2 linked regions of the Alligator mississippiensis genome follow. The protein of the gene in region 1 interacts with the protein of each later gene in a biochemical or structural test. Links are inferred from orthologs where the notes say so. Each region holds a gene or a part of one and is shown in the gene's direction. Other genes may lie near its edges. The genes, in order: PPARG and TRIM24.

Evidence for each region.
Region 2: the proteins of PPARG (region 1) and TRIM24 interact in a test that uses a peptide from one of them, tested with the Homo sapiens proteins (2 studies listed by BioGRID). The link is inferred for Alligator mississippiensis from reciprocal best matches to the Homo sapiens genes PPARG and TRIM24.

Annotation. Positions count from the first base shown.
Region 1 is NC_081835.1:30,988,402-31,003,625, reverse strand, and holds the start of PPARG (peroxisome proliferator-activated receptor gamma), read left to right. Parts: upstream 1-8,192; 5' UTR 8,193-8,195; coding exon 8,196-8,415; intron 8,416-15,224. UniProt on the Homo sapiens protein: Nuclear receptor that binds peroxisome proliferators such as hypolipidemic drugs and fatty acids.
Region 2 is NC_081827.1:109,067,441-109,083,050, reverse strand, and holds the start of TRIM24 (transcription intermediary factor 1-alpha), read left to right. Parts: upstream 1-8,030; 5' UTR 8,031-8,137; coding exon 8,138-8,474; intron 8,475-15,610. UniProt on the Homo sapiens protein: Transcriptional coactivator that interacts with numerous nuclear receptors and coactivators and modulates the transcription of target genes.

The DNA of each region.
Region 1 (15,224 bases):
CTTGCCAGCTGTCCAGGTCCTCATGCAGGCCTTCTTTCTGGAGGGCTCCTATGAGGCTCTTTAATATTTCTAGCTTCTGTAGTACCTCCTTTTGTTCTACTATCTGGGCTATACCAGGTTCAGGAGACTTACTCCTCCATTCAGCCATCTCCTTCTGCATCTCCTGCAACTTCTACTCCCTCTGTCTGCTCTTCTTGGCCTCATCTGCCATGAGCCGTTCCAGCGCTCGAGTTTTCTCTACCTCCACTGCAATCAGGTGCTTGATCTCCTTAGACCTGCCTTCTTTCTTCCCGGGTTGTGCTTGCAGCTCTAAAGTGGCCACTTTCACCTCAGCTTGCTCCTTTTGTGACTTCACCGTTTCCAACTCAAACTCTAGACGGGCAGCTTTTTCCTCAACATCGTCTGCCCACAACTGCCAGGTAAAGGCCTCTTTCTGCCTGCCTTCCAGACTCACTATTTCTGCCATGGTTCTACTTTATTCCTAGGCCAAACCTAACGTCTTCCCCTCTATAGTCTCTAATGGCAGTCTAGTCTCTAATCTTGATTCGTCTTCCCGAGCCCTGGTCTCACTGCCTTGCACTTCACTATATCTGTTCTAGCCCTAAGGTTCATTCCCCTTCTCAGGGACATGGGTTCCTTCCCCGTGCATGGCTGGCTTCCTGTCCAATGCACCAGTTGTCATGGGATGGGGTCCTACAGGATGGCCGTGATCTTCCCAAGGCCCCCTCACCATGCCAAGTTGGCCCAATGGGCACCCTCGATTCTTGCCCGCCACATCTTTGATGGTAGCTATATAGTAGGGAGACTGCCTTTACGTCCTCGTGGACGTGGTTTGCTGTACTCTCTCTAACCCCATGGGCTCCCGGACCCCTTGTGGATCCCATTTACAGTGGGTGTTTCAGGGCACCCTAGCCTTATGGGCTATGCGTGGCTCCAAACAACCCTTTACCCCACCCCAAGCCTCACAGATGGTACCGACATTGTTTGGTCTGGGCCCTGTTGTAATTTGGCCCCCTTGTCCTCCCTGGGCCTCCGCAGCCCTGTCTCGCTCCGCGCCTTCACTGGCGCCCGGGCTCTCCGCGGCCCTGTCTCGCTCCGCGCCTTCACTGAACCCCTAATGCTGCGCCCTCTCTGGTGCTGGGGTCCCCACACTTCCATGGGTCCCCATGAGGCCTCCTCCCTCCCCTAATAGCTTCACCCAAGCCACCAGTCTTAAACAGCAAACAAAACACAAGCCCCTGGGCTATAACATAAATTCAAGCTGCCTGGCTATAACATCTTTCAAGCCACACCAGGGGTGCTCTGTCCCTCACCAGTATCAGAGGCTGTACCTGCAGTCAGGCCTCTCCGCTTTGGCTCCTCTGGGAGAGCTCCTTCCCCCTTGACTGCTGGCAGGGAACTGCCGTCCTGACCTCAACCCTGGGGTTTGTGTGTGAGCCAGGCCCTGCCCCTTCCAGTCAGCTGACCACTGGCAGGTGTGGGCCACTAGCGTACTCTGGTTGCCCTGGTAACCAGCAGCTGGGGCTCCCCACTCACTGCTAGCGCTCTTTCCCTAGCAGTTTCTACTCTTTAAAGGAGCAGGGCACCTAAGTGCTCTGCAACAGTTAGTAATATTTCCGTTTTTTTGACAGAAACATTTCTCATTTTTTGTTCTAAATGTTGGTGTTCCAGGGTTATGGAAGTGTGACCCTACTGCTGCTACATGTATGTAACTCCTTCTGAAGCCAAAGGGAGTTTTCCATGGCCAAGGAAATCCTAATAAACTAAAAGTACCCTTGTTTGGACCCCTCCTTGGAGAGGTAGGAGAAGTCAGCCTTACCCCTTGGAGAAGATTGCATTAAAGCCAGTCATTGGATAATCATGTGTTTGTCTACAACATAGTAGTAGATTGGCATTGATGGTCATGAATAAGAATGCCTGTAATTCATACTCATTTTTTTATGTGTAAGAAATAGTATACAACAATCAACTAAAGCAAAAATGCAGTTTCTCCAGGTTCAGTGTATATGTACACATCACACATTTGGGTTTTTTTAAAGGAAAGCCTATTTCATGCCATAATGCTAGAGCTGCTTATGATGACAGTTTTGATTAATTTCTATCTAACACAGAAGACAGTCTGTTTTAGTAGATGTGATCTTATTTGATCCAGGTCTTATTATAAAACTGGATCTTTTTCTTCTTGTCCTAAATTAAGGAGATGCTTATAATCACATCCCTGCTAATGGTCCTATAGTTAAATGTTCCTCAGGCTGCTATATTGGGGCTTCACAGGAACACGTGACAGTGCAAGCACACAGATAGTGCAAGAGGTTCTATAGCCAGTCTCTCTTTAAATAGCACAAGAAACAGATCTAGAAAAAAACAAAAGAACACAAGTATGCATTTCCCTGCTGCAGTTTCTTCACCACTTTGCTTGCTAGAGTCCAAGGCCTGCTCCACCTCCTTTCTACATACCACCACATGCAGTCTTTTCTGAATCAGGCAGTCAGTTACCTGCTTCCTTAGCTGGTCCTGTGATTTAAAGGACCCATGAGCTTTGAAACTGCTAAACTTCCCTTATCTCTTTTCATCTGAGTTTCCTCCTAAGTCTTTCAGGTTTGTCATTTTTAGGACTCAGGAAGCACCTGTCCTCCTTCTTATTCTCTTGTTTGGGGACTTTCCACTCTTTCAAAACCCAGCCCCCTTCCAAGAAGTTGGATAAAACTGGTTTTAAAAGCTTTGACCATCCCATTGTTCTGAGGTGCCCTCACCAGAATGAAAGCCATCAGTTTAACAACCCTCCAGTGTCCCTGTTCTTGACCTAACACAGCTCTGACAATAAATGGTGCATTCAACATACATTCAATGATTCAGTAATTTCATGAATTATGCATAGATAGATTCCCTAGTCATCACACCTAGGTACTGTGCTATAGCATAAAATATAGCTTAATGAGCCTTTGAGCTAATTTGATTACCTCATAGCAGTTTGCAAACTGAAGCATATTAGTTAGAAAGTATAACTCGTTGACCCCTTAAAATGATGTGAATATAATGCATGGATTATCAATAATGTATAGATATTTTGGAGTTCTTATTTTGATGCTTCCTTTGAAGACTAACCTCAGTGCATCACTGTGGTTGAGTTTAATGGCAGTTCTACTTTCATATACCTGAATTCTGCAAAGGGTATCCTTAACATTAAACACATGATCAATCACTGTTAAACAAACACCTTAAATTTATATTTAACTTTATGCATGTGCTGTAACTGTAGACATGGGCCACATACAAGTGACACCTTTTTACTGAAGAATTCACTACTCTTTTGGTAGAAACTAGGAGCATACAAGTGTTCATTCAGTTTCTCCAGAAGGAAACATGACCTCTGTAGGAGAGGGATCTTAGTTAAGACCTGAAAGATTTTCCATGTGCAAGTTTCTCTCACAAGACTGAAGGCCTGTATGCTTCTGCTAGACTCCTCTGTGAAGCACGAGCCTCCACTCTGGGGAGGCCCCACTCTTCAAGCTTGGGAGACACTTATGCACAACTCACTTCTGATCATAGAGGAGGTAAGCTGTTGCTACCCCTCTGAGCCATCCTGAGACCAGGGACTTCAGTGTTGAGAACACATGGGGGGCATTGCTCTGCTGCTCCACTCCCCTCCCAGTCTGATATGGGACAGCAAGCATGTGGCTGTGCAAGTGCCACATGGAGAAAATTCCCCCCTGTGCAGCATTTGTATATATGCAGGGCTAACAGGCACACAGGTCATGGGGAGCTCCAGAGCTTCCCTGACATGGCATTTAAAAGTTCCTTGCCTCGTGGCCCCCAAGGTGCTGTAGGACAAAGTGAAAAAGTCTGCTGGCTGCTGGGGTTGTAAGGTTCCTGGTGGGAACCTCAGTTTCCCAGACTGGGAACCTTGCACTTTACCCACTCACCTGACAGCCCATTTGCAGACCAGGGCACCAGTCCCAATGCCAACCTAATCTTGATGCTGATGCCACACTGGGATACCAGGGTTTGGGAATGGGCAGGGCACATTGTCCCACTGTCTTCATTCCTTCTTCAGACTGCAGCCACCCCAGTCTGGGGAATGGGAAAAGGGCATTGCCTTGCTGCTCCACTCCCTTCCCAGTTCAGTCTATGTGAGAGGAGTAGAATGACAGAAAATGTCTTTCCCTGCTACTCTGTTTCTCCCCACCCCACCCCACCCCACCCCTTCCCCATCTGGGAATGGGAGGAATAGAGCAGACAGTGCTGCCCATGGTTTCTCCAGACCAGGGTCATGCTGGTCTGGGGACGGCACATGGAGCAGGGAAGAGAGACTAGCTGTGCGCTGAACGCCTATACTGTTCTCTCACCTAAACAGATTTCCAGTGCTGGAAATTTCTGACATTCATAATCATGGGGTTAAGTCTCATTAACAGCACTGCTTACAGTGTCAAATACTTCACTGAACTAAACAAGGATGTATTTAAGCAAATGATTGCTATGATGTTTCAGAATGGACTCCTAAGGAGAAGGTTCAACTAGTTAAACAAGCTACTGATAATTTTTTCATTTATACTTTTTAATGCTTTTATTTGGAAATCTGATTAATTAAAAAGAGAGACAATTCTACTATGGATATACAGGGATATTTGGAATTTGTGGAAATAATATATTTTTAATGAAATCTAAAACAAGTCTGAAAGTTTGACAACCAATAATATAAATTCACAAGGTCATTTTGGCTTGTTTAAGTTAGCCAGGAATTACCATTAATCAGATCTTGCTTCTGCTAAGAGTAGGTTGGGGTCCAACTGTTGAGAATTTGTGGGAACAGGGAGATGAAGGGCTTGCTAAGGAGCTGCCTAGTACTTCATCCTAGAACAATTTCAATTTAGTGGGCTCTTCTTTCCTAATCAGTTAGATCTTCCCTCTCACCTGAAGTTTAGAAATGAGAAGTAGATCCTAGAATCATGTGAGTACTTGCTTGTAAAAAGTCCGCAATTTCTGCTGTGATACATCCATATCTAGAACCACTGTCCAAAAAAAGAATAACCATCTATGAATAGGGTGACCAGGGCTGTGCGAAACAGTGCTGTTTCATTTCAACTTATGTTTCACCATTTTGACAGGACAGTGTTTTGTATCGATGTCTCGTTTTGAAGCACTGCTCCGTTCTGTTTCATTGAAACTTTTGCTATTTTGATGCTTTTTCGATGTCTTGCCCATAGACTATAATGGGGGATAACGAAACTGCCTATAACTGTCATTTCTTGCCTGATTCAAATTAAAACAGCAGGAATGCTAGCCCCTGTAGAGGCCACAAAGCCTGCCAAGCTTCAAGGAGATAGGTGCATGGGTTTCTGGGAAACTGCACCTCAAGCTGCTAACAAGCAAAACTTGTGTCACGTATGTGAGTTAAGGCACAGTACGGTGAAAATAGAAGGCAAGGTAGCTCCTTCTGAGTCCATGAAGCCTGCCAGGTTTCAAGGAGATAGGTGCAGGCGTTTCTGGGAAACTGCACCTCAAGCTGCTGTGTGTTAAGGCGTGCCCTGACTGGTGCTAGGGCCTCTACATGACGTGGTAGAGTGCCCCAATTAAGACTCCTCCTTCCCTACAGCCTCATTCCAGTCCACCACTTTAAATAACACCACATAATAATAACTTAGTAAGCAGATACAGTAGCACCAGCAGCATCTCAGGCAGCCAAACTGTCACAGAGCATTTTTTTCCTCTTCTGCAGCAGCTTCTTCTCCAGCATCTGCCAGAGAATGCTCCCTGCCAGCCCCAGCCCTGGGGCTTAGATGTGCCCAGGGCCCTGCCTCCTTCCGCGCAGCTGACCGGGGACAGATGCTAGGGGTGTTGGTCTAAAGACATGGCACTGGCAGACAAGGTTCTTTGGGTCAATCTGGTATCTTTTAGTAGACCAACTGAATAATTAGAGAAATATATCTTAGCAAGGTTTCGGGTTGAAACCTTGCGGGGTGGGGAATGGGGGCAGAGGATATAGCAGGTAGAAGTGGAGAGGTACCTGGGGAGTCAGATGTCTGGCAGGTTGTAGTGTGGCAGAATTCCACTGTCTATATTGAGTCCATGAGTTTCTGTACCTAGGAGATTGATGAAGTGCAGTTCATAGGCTCATCTGTGAAAAGTGGTTCGTCCCTCTTCCCCCAACATCCCAAGCAATCCCTCACCCCCTGATGCCTCCATTACCATTTTCACTGACTGGCTTTCTTGCTTGCATTGCATGCCAGCCTCTTGCTTCTTTGCTATTCCTTCCATCCAGGAACAGCACACACACCAACTGCAGGTGCTTCCTCAGCCTAATGAAGGATACCTGAAAGCTGGTATCCCAGGCAGCTAAGCTAAACTCACCTGGAGCCTCAGAACTCCACTGCAACCAGCAAGTCTCAGGCCTGTCAAAGAAATGATGGGTCTGGGCTTTCACCAGCCAGGACTGTGTGCGTGTGTGTGGTGGCTGGAGGTTATGGTGCCTCCTACCCATCTTTCACCAGGGAGATCCTTGGTCCTGTCATTTCCTGAGGCTGCCGCACCACCAACAGTCCCACCATGCCTCCCAACCCTGGCAGAGTGCAGCTTTACTGGTCATGCCCAGGACCTGGGGCCTCCTCCTTCCCCAAAGCACCAGCCCATACTTCCACGTTTGTCCTGGCATGGGAGCTCAGCAGGAACATGTTCTTCCCCTACTCACTGGTGATGCAGTGAGTGCTGCTTCCAGCTCTGAGAGCGGGGCATTAAATGTTTTTTAAAAAATGAAAAAAGGAAAAGGATGTGGACAGAGTGAAGAGGGTGGCACTCACTCCATCTGCAGGTAGAGCTTGGGAAACCCCAGCAGCGGGAGGTTCACCTTGAGGAACACCAGCTGCTCCACTAAGCCAGGATCCAAGGAGGTGCGATGGTGTGTCACTACATCACCAGCAATACTGAACACCCTCTTGCTTGGAACACAGGTTGGTAGACAGGACAGGGCAGTTGTTCATGGGCAACCGTGCCCAGATCCTGCCACATCTGTCACGAGCTTTGCCCATCAGCAGCTAAAGGCGCAGGGCTTTAGAACCCAGAAGTCCCTGCACCTATCTCCTTGACAGCTGGCAGGATTTGTGGCTTCAGCAAGGGCCACCATCCCTGCAGTTCTCAGCCCGCTGCACCTTAACACACACAGGTTCATCTGTCATGAGTTTTGCCTGTCAGCAGCTTGAGGTGCACTTCCCCCCAAGCCCATGCACCTATCTCCTTGAAACTTGGCAGGCTTCATGGCCTCAGCAGGGGACACCACCCCTGCAGTTTTTACCCCCCTGTGGTGTAACACGTACAAGTGACATGAGTTTTACTTTCAAGAATTTGGGGTGCAGTTTTCCCCAAACCCCTACACCTATCTTATTGAAACTTGGTAGGCTTCATGCTCTCAGCATAGGCTACCATCTCTGCAAGTTTCATCCAGATCAGACAAAAACAACAAAGTTATAGATATTTCATTGATTCCCCATTACACCCTATGGCCGGATCTCCAAAGCAGCTCTGAAGCTTCAGAGCCATTTCTGCCGAATCGAAGCGGGAACCCAATCCGGAGCTCTGGATTGGATCCCTGGCATCTGAAGCAGCCGGATCCGAAGCTGAATCATATAGCTGCCTATTCACACAGGCCTAATTAAGACCATTAACAAAAGAGACAGGGGTGTTAACACCTGTGAAGTGAGAGCAGTTAGCAGGAATCAGTTAGATTATGATGAGACATGAAATCAATTGACTCCCTCAGCCAGTCCTGAATAGAAATGCTGCTGCTGTCCTGTACATTTGTCTTTAAATTTGGGTTGAGCAGGAATGAAAATGGGTTGTGATTGCACCACTCCACCCCCTTCTGGATCTGCCCCTGCTGGACTCCGCCCCTCCCTAAATGGGGCTGCTGGAGGGAAAAGAAGGAAAAGAAGCAGAAGCCACTTTACAGCATCTTCCTGCTTCTTTTTTGGGCAGAAAAAAATTAGCTTCCCAGCTTACAACAATGTATTCCAGTTCTGGGGAAAGGTGTGCAAGTTAATATGATAGTTTAAATTCTCAGTATATCATGCTTCCTGTGTATATTTTTGTCATTTATTCCCAAAATCACTTTGTCATATGAAGCTTTCAAGCCCCATTGCACAAAGAAAAAGCCAACTCTTTAAATGTCTGTCTGTTTTTCTCCTTTTTTTTTGGTAGGAATTACAATGGTTGACACAGAAATGCCATTTTGGCCGATTAATTTTGGAATTAACTCAGTGGATCTCTCTGCAATGGATGATCACTCCCATTCCTTCGATATAAAGCCATTTACAACCGTTGATTTTTCTAGCATTTCTTCACCACATTATGAAGATATTCCTCTTGCAAGAACTGACCAGACAGTCCTTGATTACAAATATGACATCAAGCTTCAGGAGTGTCAAAGTAAGTAATTTCTTTTTACATCTCAGAATATACCTATTTGAATTGCATAGTGCTTTAAGAAGCATGCCCTCAACAAAAGAGCTTTGTTTCAGACCCTTTGGAATAAGGGTCACATCTTTAGACAAAAATGTTCTTGAAGCTTTATTTAAAAAATAACCAAATCAAATATCTTTCATCTAGGGCTGTGCAAAGCTTCGGGTAGTGATTAAATTTGGAGGAGATTTGGCCCGATTTGGTGGCCGAATCTCTGAATACAAATCAAATCAGGGGAGCAATTAAAAGGTCTGAATTGATTCAAAGCTCTCTGAATCTTCGGAAAAGATTCGGAGAGCTTTGATTCTTCGGACAGTCCCTGGTGGCTGTAGCAGGGAGCTGGACCCAGACTCCATTCTGGTAAGTGGGAGGGTGATGGGGGAGGGGACCATGGGGGACCCCTGCCAGCCCGTATCCCCTGCCTGCTCCCCCAGCCCTCCCACGGGTGCCCCATCTACCCCAGCTCCTGGCATTTTTTTAAAAAGCCCCAGTGCTCATTGGGTGCTGCTGAGCGGGGAATCAATCCTGGCTGCCCCCCACTGCCCCACTCTGCATGGAGGTCTCTGCATGAGCCCCCCGACCCCCCCCCCCTCACTCCCCCAGGCTCCCCACGGCTGCCCTGCCTGGGTCAGCGCTGGCCGTTTAAGAAAAAAAAAAACAAGAAAAACCCCAAGACTCACCAGCTCCTGCAGCAGCCTTGGGGCTTCTAGGGTCTCATGTGGATCGCTCCCACCAGCAGGAATGGTGTGTCGGGGGGGGGTTTGGGGGGGAGTTCTTAAAGGGCCATCACGGTGGACAGGGCAGCCATGGGAAGGGCTGGGGCTCAGACAGGGGGGGTTGGGGGGCTCATGGCAGAGCCCGCCATGCAGCATGGGGCAGTGGGGGGCAGCAGGGATCACCACCTGCCCGGCAACACCCACTGAGTCGGGGCTTTTTTTTTTAACAAGTGCCAGGAGCTGGGGTGGGCAGGGCAGCGATTGCCCAGCTGGGGGGGATGGGCCTGGCTGATTTGGAGATTCAGCAGCAGCCAAATCTCTGAATCAGATTTGGCTGAATCAAATCAGGACAGTGATTTGAATCACCAAATTGAATCACTGTCCCCTGAATCAGCCAAATCTGAAGCGAATACTAGCCACTTCGCACAGGCCTGCTTTCATCTGATAAGAGGGCTAGCATTTCCATAGCATGTTACCTAAAAGTGAGAATCTCTTTTGCATCCTAAGCTGTTTAATGAAATCGTGGCCTAAATCTTGTCTGTATTAGGGAAGTTTGTATTAATATGACAATATTGATTTTTCTAATGTAGGGAAGCCCTTAGAATTGTACAGTTTACCTTTGGTATTGCTAGAGGATAGCAAAGAAGCCCCTAGCTTCTGAGTTGTCAGTAACACCTCAATTGAACCTTTCCCAGTCAGGCTTGGTCACCCTACTCCTGCTGAAGATCAGATTATTGACCTTCTGTTGCAAGATCAGCTAGAAGATTCTTTGACCTGATATTATTTTTGTTTGTGGGCAGAAACATAGCTAGGGCAGGGGAACCGGGGCTTCTGCAGCGTCGTGATCACACCAGTGGCAAGAGGCATCTGGAAGTTGCTGCTGCTCTCTTACGTCACAGCTGCCATGGGCAAGTAGCTGCATTGTTAAGCCTCTATTTGGGATTCAGTTCTTTAGCCATTTATTATAGGGAAGATACAAAGAGAAGCTGTGCAGTTCCACTGAACCACTATTTAACCCAATAGGTGAAAAAACATTTTTATATATAACCATTTCTTTGGTAGGAAATACCCATGAGGCTCTAATAACCCAGCATAGAAACAAATAGAATATAAAATCTTGATGCCCTCAATGAGGCAACTTTCCATTAACATGACTGTGAAGACTTTGGGATTTGGTCTTTTCTAACATTCTAAAATATCAGAACGATTTTTATCTTGACATCCAGTTGTTGCAAAGAAGGTGAACTGCAAGTGTTATAAAAAGGTATTTAAAGACTGATTAAAAACCATTGTCCTCCTGTTAAATATCCATGTTCATAATTAATTATTAAATGCATATTTTTGATTTTTTGCTATAATTTATTGTCTGTCAACTGCTAAATTCTGTCCTTAACTTTGCTGGTTTGGAGAGCACCTGTCCTATTCGTATGATTAGTGATCATGGGTAGAAAGATCAATGCTTTCTTTTATGGTCAACACTGTAGATCGTTGAAGATTTACCATATTTGTTTGTGTTTACTGGGATGCTTCAGTGAACAACTTTCATAAGAGAAAGATGGTAACAGTAAGCTGCCACTGGGTGCATCTACATGTGTGCTTTACTGTGGAGTTGACAAATTAGCTCCACAGTAAAGTGACACCATCCACACTCACACTTAGGGCCGGTCCAAGGGTAACTGGCACCTTAGGCAAACTGTTTACCTTGGTGCCCCCACCACTTCCAATATAGAGGAAAATAAGAAGTCTAGAATGAACTTTTACATGTACTTATTTGATATTCAAAATGAACAGTAAAACAATAAAAACAAAAACAGTATTGATTATTTCACACTTTTCATTAACCCTAGCAATTATACTGCAAAAAATCTAATAGAATCTATTATAATGTGTACAATTAAAAGAAAATCTTCACGAACATTTGTGTAAGAAATGAGAACTTTGCTGTTCATGCTTTCAGTTTTGTAAATTCAGAAACAAGTTCTTTAAGACAAAGTTTTCCAGCTATTTCATGTTCTATCAACACGGTGGCCAGTCCAACAAGTCTCTCTTGCAGCATAGAAGAACGAAGGTATGTCTTTATCAATTTTAACTTTGAGAACCTACGCTCCTCACTAGCAAACAGAAACTAGGAGTCAAAAGAATGCAGAGAGCAATGAAGATGTTGGGAAAACTATCAGTTTATATTCAGAAATAAACTTCAGTACATGTTGAGATGTAAGCATTATCCACATCTGTAGATTTTGCCACATCTACAAAATGAATGATCATTGTCATCTGCTCAATATGACTCACATCTTGTGTACAGTCCTGAATTATTAAAAAGTATTTTGCAGAATGGGCAGCTTCTACGATTTTCTCTTTAACAGCATTTGCTAGGAGTTGAATCAGTTCATTCTGTGGCCTTCTGTCATGGTACAGGGTCCCCAGGGACGGCCGTGATACCCCTAGGGCTCCTTGACCTTGCCAGTCCTACCCATTGGACACCCTCTTTCTCACCTGCCACATCTTGTTGGTAATTATCTTGAATAGGGAGGCTGCCCTCGAGTTTACATTGGGCACGGTCCTGATGGACCCCGCTGAACCCTATGGGTTCTTGGACCCTTTTTGAGTCTTGCACAAAAATGGTTGCCTTGGGGCACCTTCAGCCTTATGGGCTAGATGCATGGCTCCAAAACCTCCCTTTTACCATGCCCCAAGCCTTGCAGATGGTATTCACCACTTGTCTCTCTCCATGCCCCCTGGTGCTGGGCTCTCCACAGCCCTGTCTGCACACCCCCTGGCGCTGGGGTCTATTCACCCCCTTCATCTCTATGCCCCTGCCGCTGGGGTCTGCTCACCCCCTACATCTCTGTGCCTCCCTGTCACTGGGGTCCCCACACTGTAGTGGGCCCCCAGTGAGGCTCCTCCTTCCCCAATAGCCTCAGCCTGATCCACCGGTGTTTATAGAAACATCAACCAAAAATATGAGCCCCTGGGCTATAACATAACACAAAAAGTTCAGGGTGTGCTCTGCCCTTTTAAAAGAGTCAAACTTCCTCCCTGGCACTAAGTGCCTTGTAGGCAAGGGTACCTGGTGAGTTCCTGGAGCCCCATTAGCCCTAAGTGCAGCATGTCTGGCAGCTGCAGCATCCCTGGGCAGTTCCTCCCGGGAGGCTCCTTCCCCTTTGGCTGCTGGCAGGGAACTGACCCTCTAGTCCCAGCCCTGGGGCCCTGCCTCTTCTGATCAGCTGACTGGCTGCAGGTACAGGATCATTCCCTCCTTAGGTCTGCTGCCACAATATCCTGCACCTGTGGGGGTTCCTGCCTGACTGCTAGGGTGCACTCTCTAGGCAGTTTCTGCCCTTAAAGGAGCAGGCACCTTAGTGCCCTGCAACACCTTCTTCCAAGTTAATGAACATGTGTTTCATGGTCACTTATTTTATGCAGATGCTCCTTCATGACTGGATCAAACACAGCCAGGTATTCAATAAATTTTAAGAAGTTTCCATTACCAGCACTATATAATTTTTAATTTGTCCTGCAGAATGCCCAGTTTTGCCCACCAGGAACTCTCACTAAAGCAATCAGTCACTCCAATATTTACTGCCAGTATTTTTCTTCTCACTTGATTCCATGTAAATTTTCTTCATCAATAGTTCTCTGGTTTTTCAATCACAGTTCAAGTTCTTTCCAGTTTGGGAAATTTTCCAAATGTTCACAACTTTTTTTCATAAGAAGAGACAATTGCAGATATGTTTTTCTAGTCCTTCGAACTGTTTTCAGTAAGTGATGATGCACCAGTTGCTTTACTGCTAAACAGTTTGCAGCAGAAGCAAAACACTTGAGTCTTTTGACACTGAATATTGTAGCCACTGTCAATACATTTCTTCCCCATTGGTAAGTAATCTCTTGCAATGATGCACAGAGAATTTTCTTTTATTTCCATATTTAGGGAAGTGAAATTCCTGAACTTGTTCAGGTGGTCCATGTTCCACCACTATTTGTCGCACAGGGTCATCACATCTAGGCCATGTAGCAGGGTCACCGTACTGTAACTTGTTTGCACCTTCTTCATCTTTCATATATGTACCTTCTGCTCCCTTATTATCTTTATCTACCTCAACTTCAGCATGTGTGTTTGTAGGTGAATAAATTTTCTCGATTTCAGTGTCAGTTTGATGCTGTGAGCTGCCTTTGTCTTGATGTGAGCTTCCTTCACCTTGATGTTGTGAACTGCTTCCATCTTGATGTGGTTGAAATGGAAGGTATTTCAGGATGGAACCCTTTTGCTTTGCTTATTCTTTTTCCTGTTCAGCTTTTCGTTTATGATACTAAGCTCCAGACGGGTTTTTTCTATCTGCCATGGTACCATTCCCCTGACACGGTTTTAAACTGTTTCAAATAAATTATCAATATAGAGAACAATCAATCTAAGCAGGAGCAATGCATAGGGGCAATGCCGTGAGCGTAGCGGTGCACCCCCTACAAAAAGGCGCTGCCGACATTGTCAGCGGTGCCTGTGGCCAGTGACCCCCCTCCCCCCACTGCTGACACCGCTGGTGGTGTCTACAGGCAGTCAGTGCTCCCTCCGCCATGCTCCTGCCGCCGCCAGGGGCACGTGTCATTCATGAATCTAAGAACAATTTCAAAGAAAATTCTGGCTGTGATGACATTAATAATGTGGACAATTGATTAAATTATCATGAAAGAAATATGGCTAGGCACTGCCTAAAGTGCCTTAATGGGCAAACTGCCCCTGCAATCAGGAAGGTATTTGTTAGGATGTACGACTAAGGGTGTAAACATGGCAACTGGTTATCTAATGTTGGTCAAGACTGCGTGGTCAAGCAGATGTTTTCCTGTTTCCTTAGCATGGTCTTCTATAAAGTAAATTGTCATTATCCATTGAGTAGTTATGTTTATTTATCTCACATATCCTATGATTTCTGGGTCAACCAACCTTACATGTTCTGTACACACAGTCATACAACTGTTTCCTTACACAACAATGATACAGGCATTATATAATGAACTAATTAAAAAATATCTCTTGAGCTTGCTAGCAATTAATTAGCACTCATTCTGCCTTAACACACATATTCTAAATGCCTACGTATCTCTCACATAAGTATCCAAACATAATTTGTACATAAATCCTTATCCCTAGTTCAACTTACTTTAAAAAATCACATGCATTCTTACAAGAATTAAATGTAATGATTCAGCAATCATACTCTGACCATTTCTAGACATTATAAAATTGAGAATATTAAACATGACCACTCAGGTGTACCTACGATAACTACGTCAAGAACTACATTGAGATCTACAAAATCAAACCAAGAAATTCCTACCTTGAAGCCTGTTTCCTGAATTACAGGCACAATTCATATCTGTACCCGGAGTTGGTGTATTTTGGTCATCTTACTCTTGATGAAATCTTAAATGCATCTGATGAAATCTAAGATGCTTTAGATTTTAAAAGGAGTGGTTAGAAGGGAGAAAAATGGTGTAAGAAATTAGTTTAATGAGCTGTAAGATGATATAGGAGTAGGGGTTCATTTTTTAGGATGACACTGCCAGTGGTATGCTCTTGTCATAAGTCCACTTGAGAGTTGAAAAGGTAGGAGTCGCGATTCTAGTGAGCTTTCCTCTGAGATCTTTTCAGAGGTCTTTCTCCCCTTACCGAACCAAAGTTCTTAGACCAAGGTGGTGCCAGGGCTGTTATTTACAATGATGTTCCTGTTATTTTGTTCTGCATATACTTTTGACACCCCCTCCCCAAACTTTGGTGCCCTAGGCGACTACCTAGTTCACCTAATGTTTGTACCAGCCCTGCATACACTGGTATTAGGGTGCAGTAGATTAATTCTTCTGTAAGATAGTACTGTTGGGGATAGTACTGTCTTTTAATGGAGACCTCTGGCCCCTGCCAGACCTCTGGACCCTGACAGCCCCTCCACCACCTGACGCCACCACCCAGAGCCTGGGGCTGACCCCCCATGCCCCTGCCAGCTCAGAACTGCTCTGCCCCAGCTGTAATTGCTGTGGTCCCAGGCACACTTGTAGACCCTGTGCCCA
Region 2 (15,610 bases), on another chromosome or scaffold:
ATACATAAATAGTGAACAGGAGTAACAAATGGCAAAACAGTTTCTGGAATTGAGGGATCTAATATCATGACTTCTTGTTTCTTGCTGCCAGTTGGTATAAACTCCATATTTTCTGTGTCCTCTCTTGGGGCCATCATCTTTAGCCATCTCTATTAGTTTGTCTCATTCTCAGCTAGATATTAGAAAAACTGACAAATCCAGTTCTGACTTAGGAGAGACAAAGAACTGCCTTGTCATTTGCATATTAACAATACTAGTTAAGTGCACTGAAATAGGATCAGAGAAAAAATTTACCATGCCAGCCAATGAGAAGGGGGTGTATCGCTGCTCCAAGTTACTGAGTGAAAGGGAAATTCTCCTTCACCAAAAAAGGAGCTATGCTCTACTGCCTTCCATTCTAATCCTTGTTTTATAGTATCCTATACATGTCGATACAATGAAAGATTGACAAACTAGAACCTTGTGACATGCTCCATGAGAATGGCCTTAGGACACATGACCCATCTTTCAGTCCTAACTTCTGAGTCTTCTAAGAGATTAAAGAATGGTGCCACGCAGAAGCAGTTCCATTTCCCTCTACTAGGGCCTGGAGGTGTCAATGATTCTTTGTAGTCAATAATATCAAAGGCATCAGATGGATCAAAAGAAAAAAAAAGAAAGAAAAAATAAGCATGTACCCAATCTTTTTTCATCATAAGGAAATCAAAGGAGATCACTGATACATAAAACAAAGAGTATTCATGTCATAGCCAGGGCTAAAATTAAACTGAGTAGGGTCAAGAGACTCAGTGGACTTCAGTTCTTGTCAGTTATATTGTTAATATCTACACTATATTATATGGTTCTGTTCTGTTCTATTCTATATGAATCTTTTCCGAAGAAAGAAGATTAAGATGCGGTGATTTTAGCAGAATTCCTAAAATGAGGAAGTGGTTTCTCTAATGACTTGCCTACAAAGAAAAGTGATGCTGGTAGAGTGTAAATTCAGTTATGCCAGTGTAACTTCCCAGGTCAATTTATGCCCTTTGGAAAAGCTCTAAGCCTGAGGTAGCCAATTATTTGGGGCCACAGGCCATATAGGGAGTTTTGGTGAAGTGTCACAGGCTGGGTCAGCATCAACCCCTGTGCAGCAGCTCACCAAAACACCCTAAGTGGCCCCATCCTGGCTGCTTGACCCAGCACCCTGTTTGGGCAGGTCCCATCCAGTCTCCATGGAGACCCTGGGATCGTGGAGCAGTGATGGTGTGGGGCCAAGACCCAGGGCAGAGCCACAATCCGCTCCCCGCATGCCCTTGCCTGCAACGGATCATGATTTTGCTTCATGCTTAGCCAGGATGGGGCTGGGGCTGGGATCTGGGGGAGTGGCATCCAAGAGCGGGATGGGTGGGCAGGTGGGGCCAGGCTGGGATTGCAGGGCCCCAGCCCCATACTCTCACCACCCTGCACACAGGGAGCAAGGTCACGACTCTACTCTGGGCCCCAGCCCGAACAGTCCCCACAGTCAGAGCATGCCCCAATCTCTCTCTCTCTCTTTCTCTCCTCCCCCCACTCCCAGCCTGAACTGTCCCCACAGCTACAGCATGCCCCAATCCACAACATCCCAGCCCCTTTCGCAGCTTACACCAACTCCTGGTCTGCATGCCAGAAGTAGCACTGAGTGGCACCGGCACCAGCACCAGCTGTGGACGCTGCAAGCAAGTTCCCAGTAGGTATCAGGGCAACTGCCTGGGACTACAGCTGATGCGCTGATGCAGCAGTGTCTTCTGTGGACCCGGATGGATGCCCTGATCCCCACCCGGAACCTACCAGCCACGTCCATAGCTGATGCCGGTGCCCACCTGGCACTGCTTCTGGCACACATGGCAGGAATTGGTGTAAGCTGTAGAAGTGGCTGGGATGTCCCTGGCATGACTCAGCAGCTGGAGCTGCTGGTCCCTCATGGGCTGGATCCCATGAGTTGGTAGCTGCCTGCCCATGGGCTGGATACAATCAGTTGTTGGGCTGGATCTGGCCCACGGGCTGTATTTTCCCCACCTATGCTTTAAGGTAAACCAAAGAGGAACTTTTATTTTAAAATAAAAGTTTCTGCAAAGGGGTTTCTATCAATTTAACTGTAGTGGTATAGCCATACAGGTACAACCTGTTAAACTGTCCACTGTAGATAGGCTCCGAAGAAGGCATCTGAAAACCCCATCAATAATGGACTTACTGTCTGCTACATTTCAAGAAACGTTTTAGAACTGTGTTATTCTCTTTACAAATCCTCAGGCCTAAAAGAATACTCGGTGATGGAGAAGTGGGCAGCTGTATTTTAGTACTTATATCATAGAATAAAACAGAACAAAAACATGTCTCAGTCAGTGCCACATTTAGGCATGAGTACTATAGGGCCAAGAAGAGGCTCTACCTCTTGGACCCCCTGCAATGATCTGATCTGATCTTTCACTGAATGAAAATGAAAGCATGTCAACACAGCACACTGTAGTGCCATATAGAGACGCCTAGTGATATCAGATACTAGAAATAGCAAAGTCCCAGGAACATGTTGCTCCACCTGAGCTAATATACGCCACTGCTCAGCAGAGCTAATTAGTTTGGACTGAGTGCCAGGCTAATATGACTATGCTGATAATGCATGGTATCCAAGTTATCTCATTTACAGCTTGCTTGTGTATCTCAACAAGGCACTATATTGTGTTGAACAGGGATATCCTAAGTTTCTCTCTCATGGTTCTGGAGAAAAAATTGAATATGTGAAAATAGCATATTTGAGTGATACAGTCATATTTGCCTGAGTCTGCAGGCATTCTAAAATATTGGCTCTAAGGAAACTGTACCATATATTTCAATTAGGTTTCAGCTCCAAACCTGCTGTTCTAGTGGCCCTGACAACACTATCCCTGTGAGCACAGATGACAATTTTCACTTGATCTGTCCACAGAAAGTGGTCTATAGCCATGACCAAACATAAATGCACAGCTGCAGACAGTTTCAAAAATGGCTGACTGGGTGAAAAATCTGAACCCTCATTGCATGAGGGGTCAGATGAAGACGTTGAAAAACAGAGCATCTTTTGTAACTTGTGTCTGTTCAGTCTCCCAGCCTCTCACTGTTTTCAGAATGGGAGGGGGAGAAAGGAAGCAGAGAGAGTTCGGTTTGGGGTTTTTTCAGTCCCCACTGGAGGATGGGGCAGGTGTATTGGAGCCCCCCTGAGGTGACAGGGGCTCCAATTCACCCACTCCACTTTCCAGCGCTAGCTGGGGAACCCCTGGAATGAGCTCTCTCTGCTCCCTTTCCCCCCCTCCCATTCTGAAACAGGAATAGGCTGGGAGAGAGGAGGGGCCATTGCTAGAGGAAACCAGCTGCAGTCTTCCAGCCAGCAGCCAGAGTCTCTTCCCCCCTGGAACCAACAGTGAACTTCTGTTTGGTCCCAGGAATCATTATAACTCAGAGCACATCCTACAAAATGTTACAGCAGGGAACTGCACTTCTGCCTGCAACCTGTGGCTGCATCTACACAAGACACTGATTGTACAGTTGTAATTGCAGTCATTTAAAACTTGCATACACAAGTACTAAATGACAGTGCAGTAACTGGAGTTACTGCACAGTAGCATTGCCAAACGGGTTTTAGGTAATGCTGATTGTGCAGGAGCTCATTAGTACTGCGTAGTAGTGTCATGTCATGCCATGCTTTGTGCCATGCGATGCTACTGTGCAGTAGTAATGAACTACTGAGCAGTCAGTGTCTTGTGTAGATGTGACCTGTGTGTAGCAGGAGGAAAAGTGAATGGCAGGTCTGACTGATCCAGGCACTCAAGTAAACGCATTACGATTCCTGAGGTGAGAAAGCACTAAGCATGACATTGCATTAATATTTGGTGGTCTAGATTCTATTTACATTTTGTCATTCATGCCATTAGACTTAGTGTTGGTAGTGTTGAGGCGATGTTGTTGCTGTGATGTCCAGGAAATATGTGAGGCGCAAAAATTCTTGTGCATAATACCTTTTATTGGACCAACTCATGGTTGGAATAGACATAGGGAAGCTTTCCGATACCACAGCACAGTAAAAACCTGATAAAGGAGGAACAACGGTTTTCAGAAGGGTAGTTATCATTTAAGAAGTACAGAAGTTAGTGAGCATCAGGTACATTATAATGGGCCATTAAACCATTGTCTATGATAGGTCCCTGATACTTAGTTTCCAAAAGCTAATTAATTTCTGTTCCCAAGCCCATCTTGTAAGAGTGTTGGGTAGTTTTCCTTGGACTCTTTTGAACACTCTTGTTTCTCCTTTATCAGGTTTTTACTGCTTCTCTCCTGCTTGTTGGCAACCTGATTTCTCTTATATCTTGTTGTTGTTTACATACGGAGTTTTACACAAGCTCTGTTACATCAGCTACTTAACTCTGCTGTGTCTGCTTCTATCCCAGGGGCCTGAGGAAGGGTACTCTGATACCCAAAAGCTTGCCTATGTCTATTCCACCACACAGTTGGTGCAATAAAAAATATCACCCACAAAAATTCTTGCCTCTCGCATTAGACTTTGTGGCCTGGGATTGTTCTGTCCTAAGTGCAGGACTTTGCACTTGTCCTTGTTGAACCTCACAAGATTTCTTTTGGCTCAAGCCTCCAGTGTGTCTCTCTGAATCCTAGCCCTACTCCCCAGCAGATCTACTGCTCCTCCCAGCTTGGTGTCATCCGCAAACTTGCTGAGGTGCAATCCATCCCATCTTCCAGACAGTTAATGAAGATAATGAGTAAAACCAGCCCCAGGACCAATCCCTAGGGCAATCCACTTGATAATGGCTGCCAACTAGACGTTGAGCCATTGATCACTACCTATTGAGCCTGGTGATCCAGCCAGCTTTCTCTCCACCTTGCAGGCCATTCATCCACCCATACTTCCTCAGCTTGCATGCAAGAATGCTGTGGGAGATGGTATCAAAAGCCTTGTTAAAGTCAAAGTATATCACGTTGACTGCTTTCCCTGCAACCACAAAGCCAGTCATCTCATCAAAGAAGGCAATGAGGTTGGTCAGGCATGACTTGCCCTTGGTTAATCCATACTGACTGTTCCTGATTACTTTTTTCTTCTTCAAGTGCTTAGAAATGGATTCCTTGAGGACCTACTCCATGATTTTTCTGGGGACTGAGGTGAGGCAGTCTGGTCTGTAGTTCCCTGGATCCTCCTTCTTCCCCTTCTTAAAGATGGGCACTAGATTTGCCCTTTTCCAATAGACCAGGGCCTCCCCTGATCACAGTGAGTTTTCAAAGATAAAGGCCCTGTGGCTCTGCAATCACATCAGCCAAAAACCCTCAGCATCCTCACGCTGAGATCCAGCCTGCAGACCATATCCAGCTCATAGAGGTGCATCATTTGGAACCCAGTTTTGCCCCAGTCTTGGAGTGACTCACAAGCAGTGTGCAGGGTACACTGGATGGCCCTGGATGATACCCATAGAGTGGCCACCAAGGGCAGCACAACCCCAGAGCAGCCTTGTATAGCTCTGGAGCCATGTTACACATGATAATGGCTCCAGAATGGTGCAGCACAGCCCATGAGTGACTGGTGCCTTCTGAGTCTGGGGGGGCACCCGCAGAAGCCATTGATGGCAGTGGCCCTGTCGGGGAGCACCAGCTCTACGAATAGCATCAGTGTTGGCTGTCAGGGGGGGCACCGGCCCCACTGGGGGTGGGCATGGGCACCCCTGTGCACCCCCTACCAGTCACCTATGGCACAGCCCCACAGAGGTTGGAACAAGATCAGAATGTGGGGCTGGTCTGTGGGTCTGATCCAGTCTGCAGACTAGTCCCACCAAACTCATCTGGTCTGTGGGGCCGGGTAAGTTTGATGCTCCTGTAACAAGGGAATCTCAGCTTGCCCAAAAGGGAGTAAAAAGAAAATCCTTACAAGTCCAGCAGCCACCTCTGACATGGGTGACCTCTGCCACTGCTATCTGAAGAGGATTGGGACTGCAGCATGGAGATAGTAATATGGAGAACCCTTGTCATGGTTTTCTTAGGATCCCAGATTGCCTTCTTTTGGTCCTGCTACTTCTTACAAATAAGGAAGCAACCGTTTGAAGAAATTATGAAGCAAAAGAACAGAAGAGCCATGAAGATATCTACTGACAGAAAAATCAGCTTTGGAACTTTTCCCCTTCCCACCTCCCCTTTTTTGGGGAAGGGTAGCTTATAAATCTAATTAAACCAAATAAATCAGTCAATCAGTCAATAAATAAATGAAGTTCAGTAACAGAAGAGTAACATTTTCTTACTCAGTATCCCAACTCATAAAAGTGCAATTGTGCTGCATATTTAGTGGACACAACAATTGATCTGACCTGTTTCCTATGGTTGCTGCCCCAGTCTGCAACCTGAACGTTGGTTATTTCTCTTAATGCACCAATTGCTTGTGAAACACTTTGGTAAGATAGTGGGGTTTTTTAGTTTATTGTCCTATGGAATAATATTCTTGTTTCATATATTGGTACTTGCTTTATGTAAAGATGTTTTTATTAATTTCTGTGAAGGTTTTGTTTTCATAATGTTGGTATTTGAGGAAGCAGGATGAATATCCCCTTTGTAGGCCAAGTAAGATATATACACATTTGAGGAAGTCACAGTAGTCTTGGTATGTTCTACCTCTTCTGCACTAGGTCCATGTGAAAATAAATTGCAAACATTTTTTTAAGAGACTACACAGCATGAATTGGTTGCTTCTCTCTCTCATTGTTGCAATTCCTCCTTAACGGGTTTTTCTCCTCACTGGATTCCAGTTCTATGCTCAGCGGGTAGTTATTTTGTAAGGGCTATTCCCAGTGCCTCCTTAAAGCTTTTTCTTCCTGTCCTGGATAGTCTGAGTATAATCCCACCCTTCCTATAAAGGGAAGCTAACAGGGGATGGGGGTGGGGAGGAGAGGGTGAGCCTGGCTAGCCATATGCATATTAATAACTGAAGCTAAAGGCTCCACCCTTCTGTTGTTGCCTCTGGGCAAAGCTGGGAGGAGGTGGCAGGACTGGAGAAAAGAAGGCAGATGGGCTGGGTAACATTGTTCTCATTAATATTAATCAGGAGAGATGAGGAGGAGGAGGAGGAAGAGAAGGGGAGGAGGAGAGTGCTGGTCCTTGTGTTGTTAAAGCCAGACAGGGAATCAGATCTGACCTCCTAAATTGTATTAAAAAAATACAAATTTGCCTTTGTATTGTGTGACACTATTAGTATCAGTTATAGATTATGCTCCAGTAGTATCAATCCTGGACCTGAGGAATCCAAACCAAGGAGAGGCCTGTGTAAGCCACTGTTGTGAAGACACTACTAGTCCTGTGTCGTTTACAGCTTCTGCACTGGGGCTAGCCATGTGTCTGGGCTGACAGGGGTACTGGGGGTTCCAGGTTGACCTCGGGTATGTGTTGAGGGCAGCTCGAGAAGGACACGAAAAGCGGGTAGCAGGGTGTCAGAGCCTCGCTTACAAGATAGGATGTGTGTGTGTGTGTGTGTATGTATGTGTGTGTACATGTGTGTATATATGTGTATTTATGTATGCACATATGTGTGTGTGTTTATATGTCTATATATGCCTGCGGAGTTGATGGGCAAGCAACTTCATGGAGTTGTGATCAGTCTGGCACACACTGATCCCGCCGCCCCCTCCTAGCTCCTGAGCTGGGGGTATCACACGCCAGCTGAGAGAAGCGGCGCGCAAGAAGGAGCCGCGGGACCGTGTTGCCTTAGGCCAAAAGGGGCGTGGCTACTGAGCGAAGGGGGCGTGGCCACGCCGGAATGGCGAGCGAGCGAGCGGCGGGGCGGAGCAGCGAGGGCGGGGCTGACTCCGGCAGAGGGGGGCTGGGCCGGGGAGAGGCGAGCCGGCGGGGCCGAGACCCTGGCGTGGGGGGCGGGGCGGCAGAGGGGGCGGGGCGCGGCGGCGGGTTGGCTGAAGCGGGCGGAGGGGGCGGGGCGCGGCGGCGGGTTGGCTGAAGCGGGCGGAGGGGCGGGGCGCGGGCGGCCGTTGGCCATGTTGAGCGGGTGCAGCCGCCTCCCGGGCTAGGACAACAAACCCTGCGGTGGCGGCGGCGCGCGGCGGGGGCGGGGCAGCGGCGGCTCGTGCGACGCGGCGGCTGGTGCCGGACAATGGAGGCAGCAGCGGTGGCGGCGGCGGCGGGGGGCCCGAGCTGGGCGGCGGCGGCGGCGGGGGGGGAGCGGGCGGCGCTGAGCGGGGAGAACGAGGCCGAGAGCCGGCAGGGCCCGGCGGAGCGCAGCGGCGAGGCGGCGCCGCTCAACCTGTTGGACACTTGCGGCGTGTGCGGGCAGCCCATCCAGAGCCGGCGGCCCAAGCTGCTGCCTTGCCTGCACTCGCTCTGCCTGCGCTGCTTGCCGCTGCCCGAGCGCTACCTCATGCTGCCGCCCCCCGCGCCCGCCGCCCCCCGCGACCCGCCGCCCGCCGCCTCGCCACTGCACTGCACGACCGGTAAGTGCCGCTCGCGCGTCGCCGTCGGGGCCGCGCCACGTGCTGTCGCGACAGGCGTGGAGGGCACCGGGACACCCTCCCCCCAGGGGCGTCTCGTGGTTGCAGGCGGGCAGCCTCCCCCTTCCCCTCCCCCCACAGGGGCGGCCGGCCTCTGAGCCTCCCGCCCCTCCCCCTGCTGCCCCGAGGTTCTCCTGCCTCTGCCGGCAGCCTGTGGGTCTTAACAGGGCAAGCTTGTTTTAACCCTACGCTTCAAAGGCACAGCTCCTGCTCTGCTTCCACCAGGTTTGTCCTTACCCTGGATGCAGGTGTGTGACAAAGCAGGCAGTGGGCTGAGGGATGCAATGCACATACAACACTTGATCTGAGCCTTCAAGAGGCCGAGACGCATATATATGTTCGGAGAGTTGTCGTCCTCCCAACCCCCCTTTTGGTTCAGGGTGTGAAGATGGCCCAGGGTGGTTGCAGCAGGAGCTCCTGGTAAGGAGCAGGGCGTGGTGTTACAGGGCTGGGCAGATCATGCCCTCCCCAATAGGGGCGTGGGTGAAACATGCAGCGGACTTCGTGCTGACCTGTAGTTGCAGGGCAGAAAGCAAAGGTAAGCTGTGAGAGTTGAATCAAACTGTGCTGTAATGGCTCTTTTATTGCCCCTCCGGGTTTTGTGTTTTGTTTCTTTTTTTATTTGTCAAACTTCACAGATTGGTTTCACTTTTTGGCATAGATGAGGAAGGAAAGGGCTTCTGCGAGGGAGGAAAAAAAGATGGAGGGCAGCACGAGGCACCTGTTAGTTGGTGGGGGGGAGCAAGTGGCTTAGAAGTTCCAAGTTCAGTGATGTTTCTGTGTTGGGCAGTCTGCAAGGGCACCAGCCTTCAGGCAACCCCTGCCTGCTTCACCTGCCCAGCCTGCCTGGGCTTGCTTGCACAGTATGGGACTCTGTGGTAGTACCCAGACAGGGGGTGACCAGGCATATGTCCGTGTGTCTGTGTCGGGGAAGATAAAGGGTGGAGGGCCTCCGTGTCATTCCAAAGAGTTGGTTGCTTTGAGACTTCCCATAGTCTCCCCTCACACTAGGATTAAAAGGACTTTCCTTAGAAAGCTGCAAGTACCTTGCATTGCCAGCAGTTGCATAGAGCTGTGTGTGCAGGGGGAACCTGGAAAGCAGGGCTGGGTACATGAGTGCAGGCAGAGGCGGTGGAACAGTTAACAGTTGATGGGCTAATTCACTTCTCATTGAGTGTGGAATTGGTAGCCATTCTGTTCTGTTAAATACCCATTGGGCAATAGAGGTCTTTCCCCACCACCTCCCCCCAGCAATTAACAGGTGTTTTACTGTTACAGCCCAACCACCCCTTGCTTGCCACAAACCATAAAGCCCTCTACTTTCTCCCTCCAGAACCTGGCTACCCCTCCACCCCGCACCATCCCAGATAAGGCAGAGATCCCTGCCCAGGGTCCGTAGCATGGAACTGAAACTGATACAGAGGCTTTTTGCTTCCCTGCCCTGTGAACTGTTGTTTCTGTAGGCAGTAGAGTCATAGTTGCATCCCAGAGGAGCCCTAGTATGGTTTGTGGGGTGTGAGGAGTGGTGCAGTTTGGGATGTCCAGAGGACTGACCAGACACTAGGCACAGAATGCTCTATGTCCACACATAACACTAAACTGGTTCAAGGAGAATCAGATTAGTACATAATTTTCCCAGTGTGCTTTTGAAATGTTCCAGGAAATTTTAACTGGTCTAATGTGGCATGCATGTCTAGACTCTTGCGTTTTACAGGGTAATTAGAGTGTTCTCAGTTTTACATCTGTCCATACTTGTAGTGTCCACATGCTATCAGTCTGGTTAAATTTAGATGAGGCATTTAGCTAAACCTTTTTGATTTTGAATTAAATAAAGAACCTCTTGAAGTCGTCCTTAAGCAAATGTGCTTTTCATCATGGAGATCTAGTTTGTGTTTGACATAGCTGTAATACATTTCTAGGCAATAGGCATGTTGTAGTAGAACTTTAGTACTGTCAGTAGTGTATTGGATGATAAAAATTACTTGAACCAATTTTCCCTTAATCTCTTTCTTAGTAGATGTAAATGCCTGTTTATTCTATTCTGTAATACAAAAGTTCATTCTGAAAAAAAACCAGAAACGTGGTGATGGAAATGAATGAAATAGATATCTTTAATAGGTAGGTGTGATGGAACTGGAGCTACTCTCTAGCAGTTTATGAATGCTGTATATTGACCTGGATATTGGGATGAAGGGACCTGGAGAGAGGGACATGAAAGGCAATATCAGAACTGCTGAACTTGAAGAATTTGCTGTCATCTTAACCTGTAAAATGCATTTTGTCTAGGGAAAAGTTCATAACCTAGGAACACCAAAACATTATAGTAATTTAAAAAGGAACACAGCTTGCAGAAGAACTTTGTCCAACCCACAGCATGTCCCTCAGTCCCACCTGGCCCATGTGCTGTCTGGCCTGTGGCATGTCCCGCTGGTCCCAGGTATGCAGTGGGACTGGGGTAGCTCTGCGGCTGGACTCCACTTCTAGGCAGCCCAAGGGGCAGTGGCTCCTTCCGACTGCTGCCACCTTTGGCCCCAGCCCCATGGAGACTGGCAAGAACCTGCACACACAGCCCCAGCCTTGGCCCGCCTTGCACCCACTCTGGACTTGGCTCAGCTGGAGTCCTGGCCTGCTCCAGACTGCTTGCCCATGATGAGCGGCAGTTGCAGCAGCTGGGCAGAAAAGCAGCTGCCTCCCCCTAACCACTGCTGGGCCCTTTTTGCTGCTGCCTCCCTGGAGCTTGCACCTGGAATGCCTTGTGGCTCCTTTTCACTGCCACTGCTCCTCGGCTGGGAGGTGGCACTGTGGTAGTGGGGACTGCAGTGGACAGGAGCTGCAGAACAGCCTGTGCACAGGCTCCAGGTGGCTGCAGCAAGAAGGGACTGGCAGTAGTGAGGGGGCAGCAGCTGTTTTTGCCCTGCACCCAACAGTAGCTTCTGCCTGGCCACTGCCGTTGCCACCACTGCTCATTGGGCGCAGGCAGTTCGGAGCAGGTGCAGAGCAGACTGGGGTCAGGGCTGTGCACATAGGTCCCGGCTGGTCCAGAGCTTGTCCACTCCTGCTGGGGTGAGTCTAGAGAGGGTGTGGGATGAACTGGGGCTGTGCGTTCAGCTGCTGCTGGGTGCTGGTGGCAGGGAGGAGCCCAAGGTTGAGTGGGCTCTGGGCTGTTGTGGGGTGGGTGAGGAGGGTGTTGGCCAGCCTGCCACCCCCAAAAAGTTGCCCACCCCTGATGTAGATGGTCTTAAAACCTTTCTTCTCTAGCTGCATTCTCCTGATGGCTTAACAATATATTAACTTAATTTTAAAATTGTTTGATCACAGTATAATTTATGAGGAACAGGTTCCCAAAGAGAAGAACTAGACCTAGTCAGACCTACTGCATTAGCTTGATTGATACACAGCAAATTGTGGCTTAGCCCAATCCAGGAGTGGGGAACTGGTCAGTTCAAACCTGGGGAAAGTAAAGGCACAGAGCCTGACACGTGAAGGGGATTCACTTGGAGACCAGAAAGGGAGCAGAAGTACAAGTAGCCTTATAAACAGGACAGCAGGTTCAGGCCCCATTATAAACATTATTTGATGATTCTCATGAGCAGTATAAGCAAATGGCTCAATTTCCAAGCGTCAAAGAATGACAAAAAGAAAGGGGTCTGTTCCTGACAAAGAAAGTGGAAAGACTAATATGAATGAAGGAGGAAGGCTTAGTATTGTTCAGAGAAGTAGTTACATGCATGCCAGGGACAAATGATAAAAGGTACATAAAATAATAATACAGAAATGGAAATTAGGTACTCCCCTCTTTTTTCTCTTAATGATAGAGGGGATGGTACTGTATGTATGAAGAATATGCTGTCTCTTCCTGGTATTTGTAACACTATCTCAGGTCGTTCATGAGCGGCTCTATTGTGACATGAGAGGATGGTAGGTTCAGTTTTCTCTCAGCTGTTTATGTGCTCCATTTCTTTTGGCTGAAATGAGTGGTGGTAGGGGAGAGCTAGATGTCTCTCAAGAGTTTAATTGTTGGTAATCTGCCATAGGGGTGGCTTCATTGTCACTTTTCCTGAAAGCTCCATGGTGTACACTAGTACAGGGGCTGGCAATCTATACCCCAGCCTGTAGATATGGAGCTCTGGTGGCACTTAGCAGCAGGGGGCTTCAGCAGCAGTTGTTTTCTCCATGCTGCTGCAGGGAAAAGCCAGCATCTGGTACCCTCCTTATGCTGTTCAGCAGCAGTGGCAGTAGCAGCCATGGCTGGATCCTAGCATTTGCCGAGCCACCTGCCTCCCTCTGACTCAGTTGCCTGCAGCCTAAAAGGTTGCTTACTGCTGCACTAATGAACTGAAGGCCCAGATTCACCAGTATGCTTGAATTGCTTTGTACTTCCCAAATGATGCAAGGCAACTGTGAACCTGATGGGCATATAATATGCTCCAGTTGCTTTAAGCTAATTGTGACCTTAAAATTAAAGCACGCATGTGCATGCACACATGACATCATGTATCGTCAGCTGGATAAAGATATGGTAAAACTTTCTCCTTGGAGGAGTTCTTCAGCTTTCCCCTATAGCATTTTTAAATTAAAAAGAAAAAGAATTTCTGGAGAGATGTATCAGTAACTGAAGGATGAAAACAAGTACAAGGGTTTTGGAACAACATGAGTGACAAATGAACTTGGTGCAAACTAAAATAATTCTTGTTTTAAGGTTAAATTTAAAAACACCTGAGTAGTTTAAGATATGGGAACACATACTTAAGTTATCCAACCAATCTTAACTGGGCCTTCTGTCCATGTTGTGGAGAAGTGTATATGGGATTGATTTATTTATTTAAACAAAAATCTTATCTGGGGCTCCAAAGATGCCTAATGCGTGAAACTTAACTGGTGGCATGCTGTGTAAAACAAGGAGTCATTGAGCTTAACAACATATTAGGATTTAAAATATATATATATTAATTTAAACACTCAGTGAATAAAAGCTTTCAATGGACTTCATATCAGAAACAATAGTTGAGTCTATGATATCTGGTCTTCAAGTTTAAGGTGTCAGAAGAATGGCTCCAGGGTGCAAACATTTATATATAGTGTGGGATAGAAATGTCACTCCTAGGATGATGAGATCAGTTTAACTAGAGAATTCTTCTTTTAAAATTACTGGAAGCTTGTTAGCAGGCTGGCTTTTGCATGGCAGCCAGTTATCATGTGATATGATACTGAGTAGCATGCATTATTGTAATGTTGCAAGAATAGGTCTCTTGACATCTGAAGAGTAGCTTTGGCACTTCTAAAACAGACTGGGCCTGCGACCAGGTACTGCCATACAGAGGTGGCCATCCGATGTTCATGGTTGCCACATATAGCACAGGCAGCCACTGCCTGGGAGCAGAAAGCAGAACAGCAGATTGGGCAGATGATCAGTGTGGCACTGGGGGAGGATGCCAGGCTTTTGTTGTAGGCCTGCCAGAAGGGTTGGCCCTATTGTTCTAATACCTCACCTGCCAATATTGCTCCTGTGTAGCTGGGGCAACTTAAATCTTTTAATTTTATTTTTTTTTCAAAATTGGTTTCCTGAGTGTATTAGGTTGAATCAGTAAGTGTAAGATGACGATTGCACCTTTTTGTTTGAGCAGATGTGCATACTGGGTGGTGCCCCAATGTCTGGTTGAGTGATAGCCTCTATACTTAAATAAGGCCATGTTCATGGTGGAGGGTGCGTGTGAGCATTGAGTTACTTTTGTGGGCCTTTAAATGTGAAGCTCAGGCATGTAATCGACAGAAGATGCATACTTTGCAAAAGAACTGCAAATCCATTTACATCTTGTGTATCTGAAATATTCTTGGTTATTTAACATTCTGTTCATGCCAATTTGGATACTGAGTAGATTTTTAAAATAAATAATTGTCTAGGTAATGGAACTGTGTAGGGAAGAGCCATGTAATTGGAAATGCATATTAAAATTTTATCTTAAGTAATATAATAATATATAATAACATTTCATTAATGCCTGCTTCAGATGCAAGTGAGATCTAGACCTAGTCTTTTTCAGTCAACTTGTCTACACTACAATTTAACAAGTTTTTAGCTTGCATGTCCAGCATAGTTTGTAGAGTATAAGTGGTTGAGGAATGTTCAGACTAACATTTACAAATATTTAAAGTACCTAGCATTGATTGGGAATCACTGTTATAGGAGTTACGCTGAAGTTGTCATTTGGTAACTTTGAGCAACATTAATGTAAGTGGTTAATGTGTCATATTTTAGATGATTAATGTCTAAAAGTGTCTGCTTACTAGGATTGTTTAGGGCAGTGATGCTTAACTTCTGGCCCATGGGGCCATGTTGTCTGGCCCACAGGGCTCTCCATTGGTCTGGAAACTTTGTGGCTTGGGAGTGGTGGGAGCATTAAATGACAGCAAAAAAAAAAAAAAAAGGAGCTGTGTCATTTTCTTTCCACGGACTGCCCCTGCTGACCACTGGTTTATTACCATAGTGGGGAAGGGCAGCCCCCATTGCACACTGGTAGTCACCTGTGGCCCCTTCTGTCAGTTTTGGAGTGTAGAGAAGTGGAGGGGATGGCCTGGGCTGCAAAGTGCAGCTCCATCTGTGTTTTCCCCTACCCACCCCCTTGCAGCAGTGTGCTGCTGGGAACATGGGAATGGCTTGCAGAGGGGCTGCCTGGTTTTGGGGAAGGCAGCAGTAGACCTCTGAGGAGCAGCTGCAGGCATTGCTGGAATAACTAGGGCAGGTGCAGGGTGCTGGATGGGGAGGAGAACAAATTTACCTTCTCGCACAGGTGGATCTCATGACATACTTCCTTTGTACACTTGTCTTGCTCTCACACCACACTAATGTGTTGTGACATGCCCTTTGGGAGTCACTGGTGTAAGGCTTTACAGGATATATATCCAAGTTTGACTTCAGTTTCTTTCCCCAAGCATCTGGAGTCCAAATTCTTGTCATTTTAGAAATAGCCTTTATTATTACAATAGTTTCCATGACTTGCACAGCTAGGGCTGTACACAAATATCTCATTTGTGATGGTCCTGATTTTCCTGGGTTTTTACTCTGATCAAAATGGGAACAG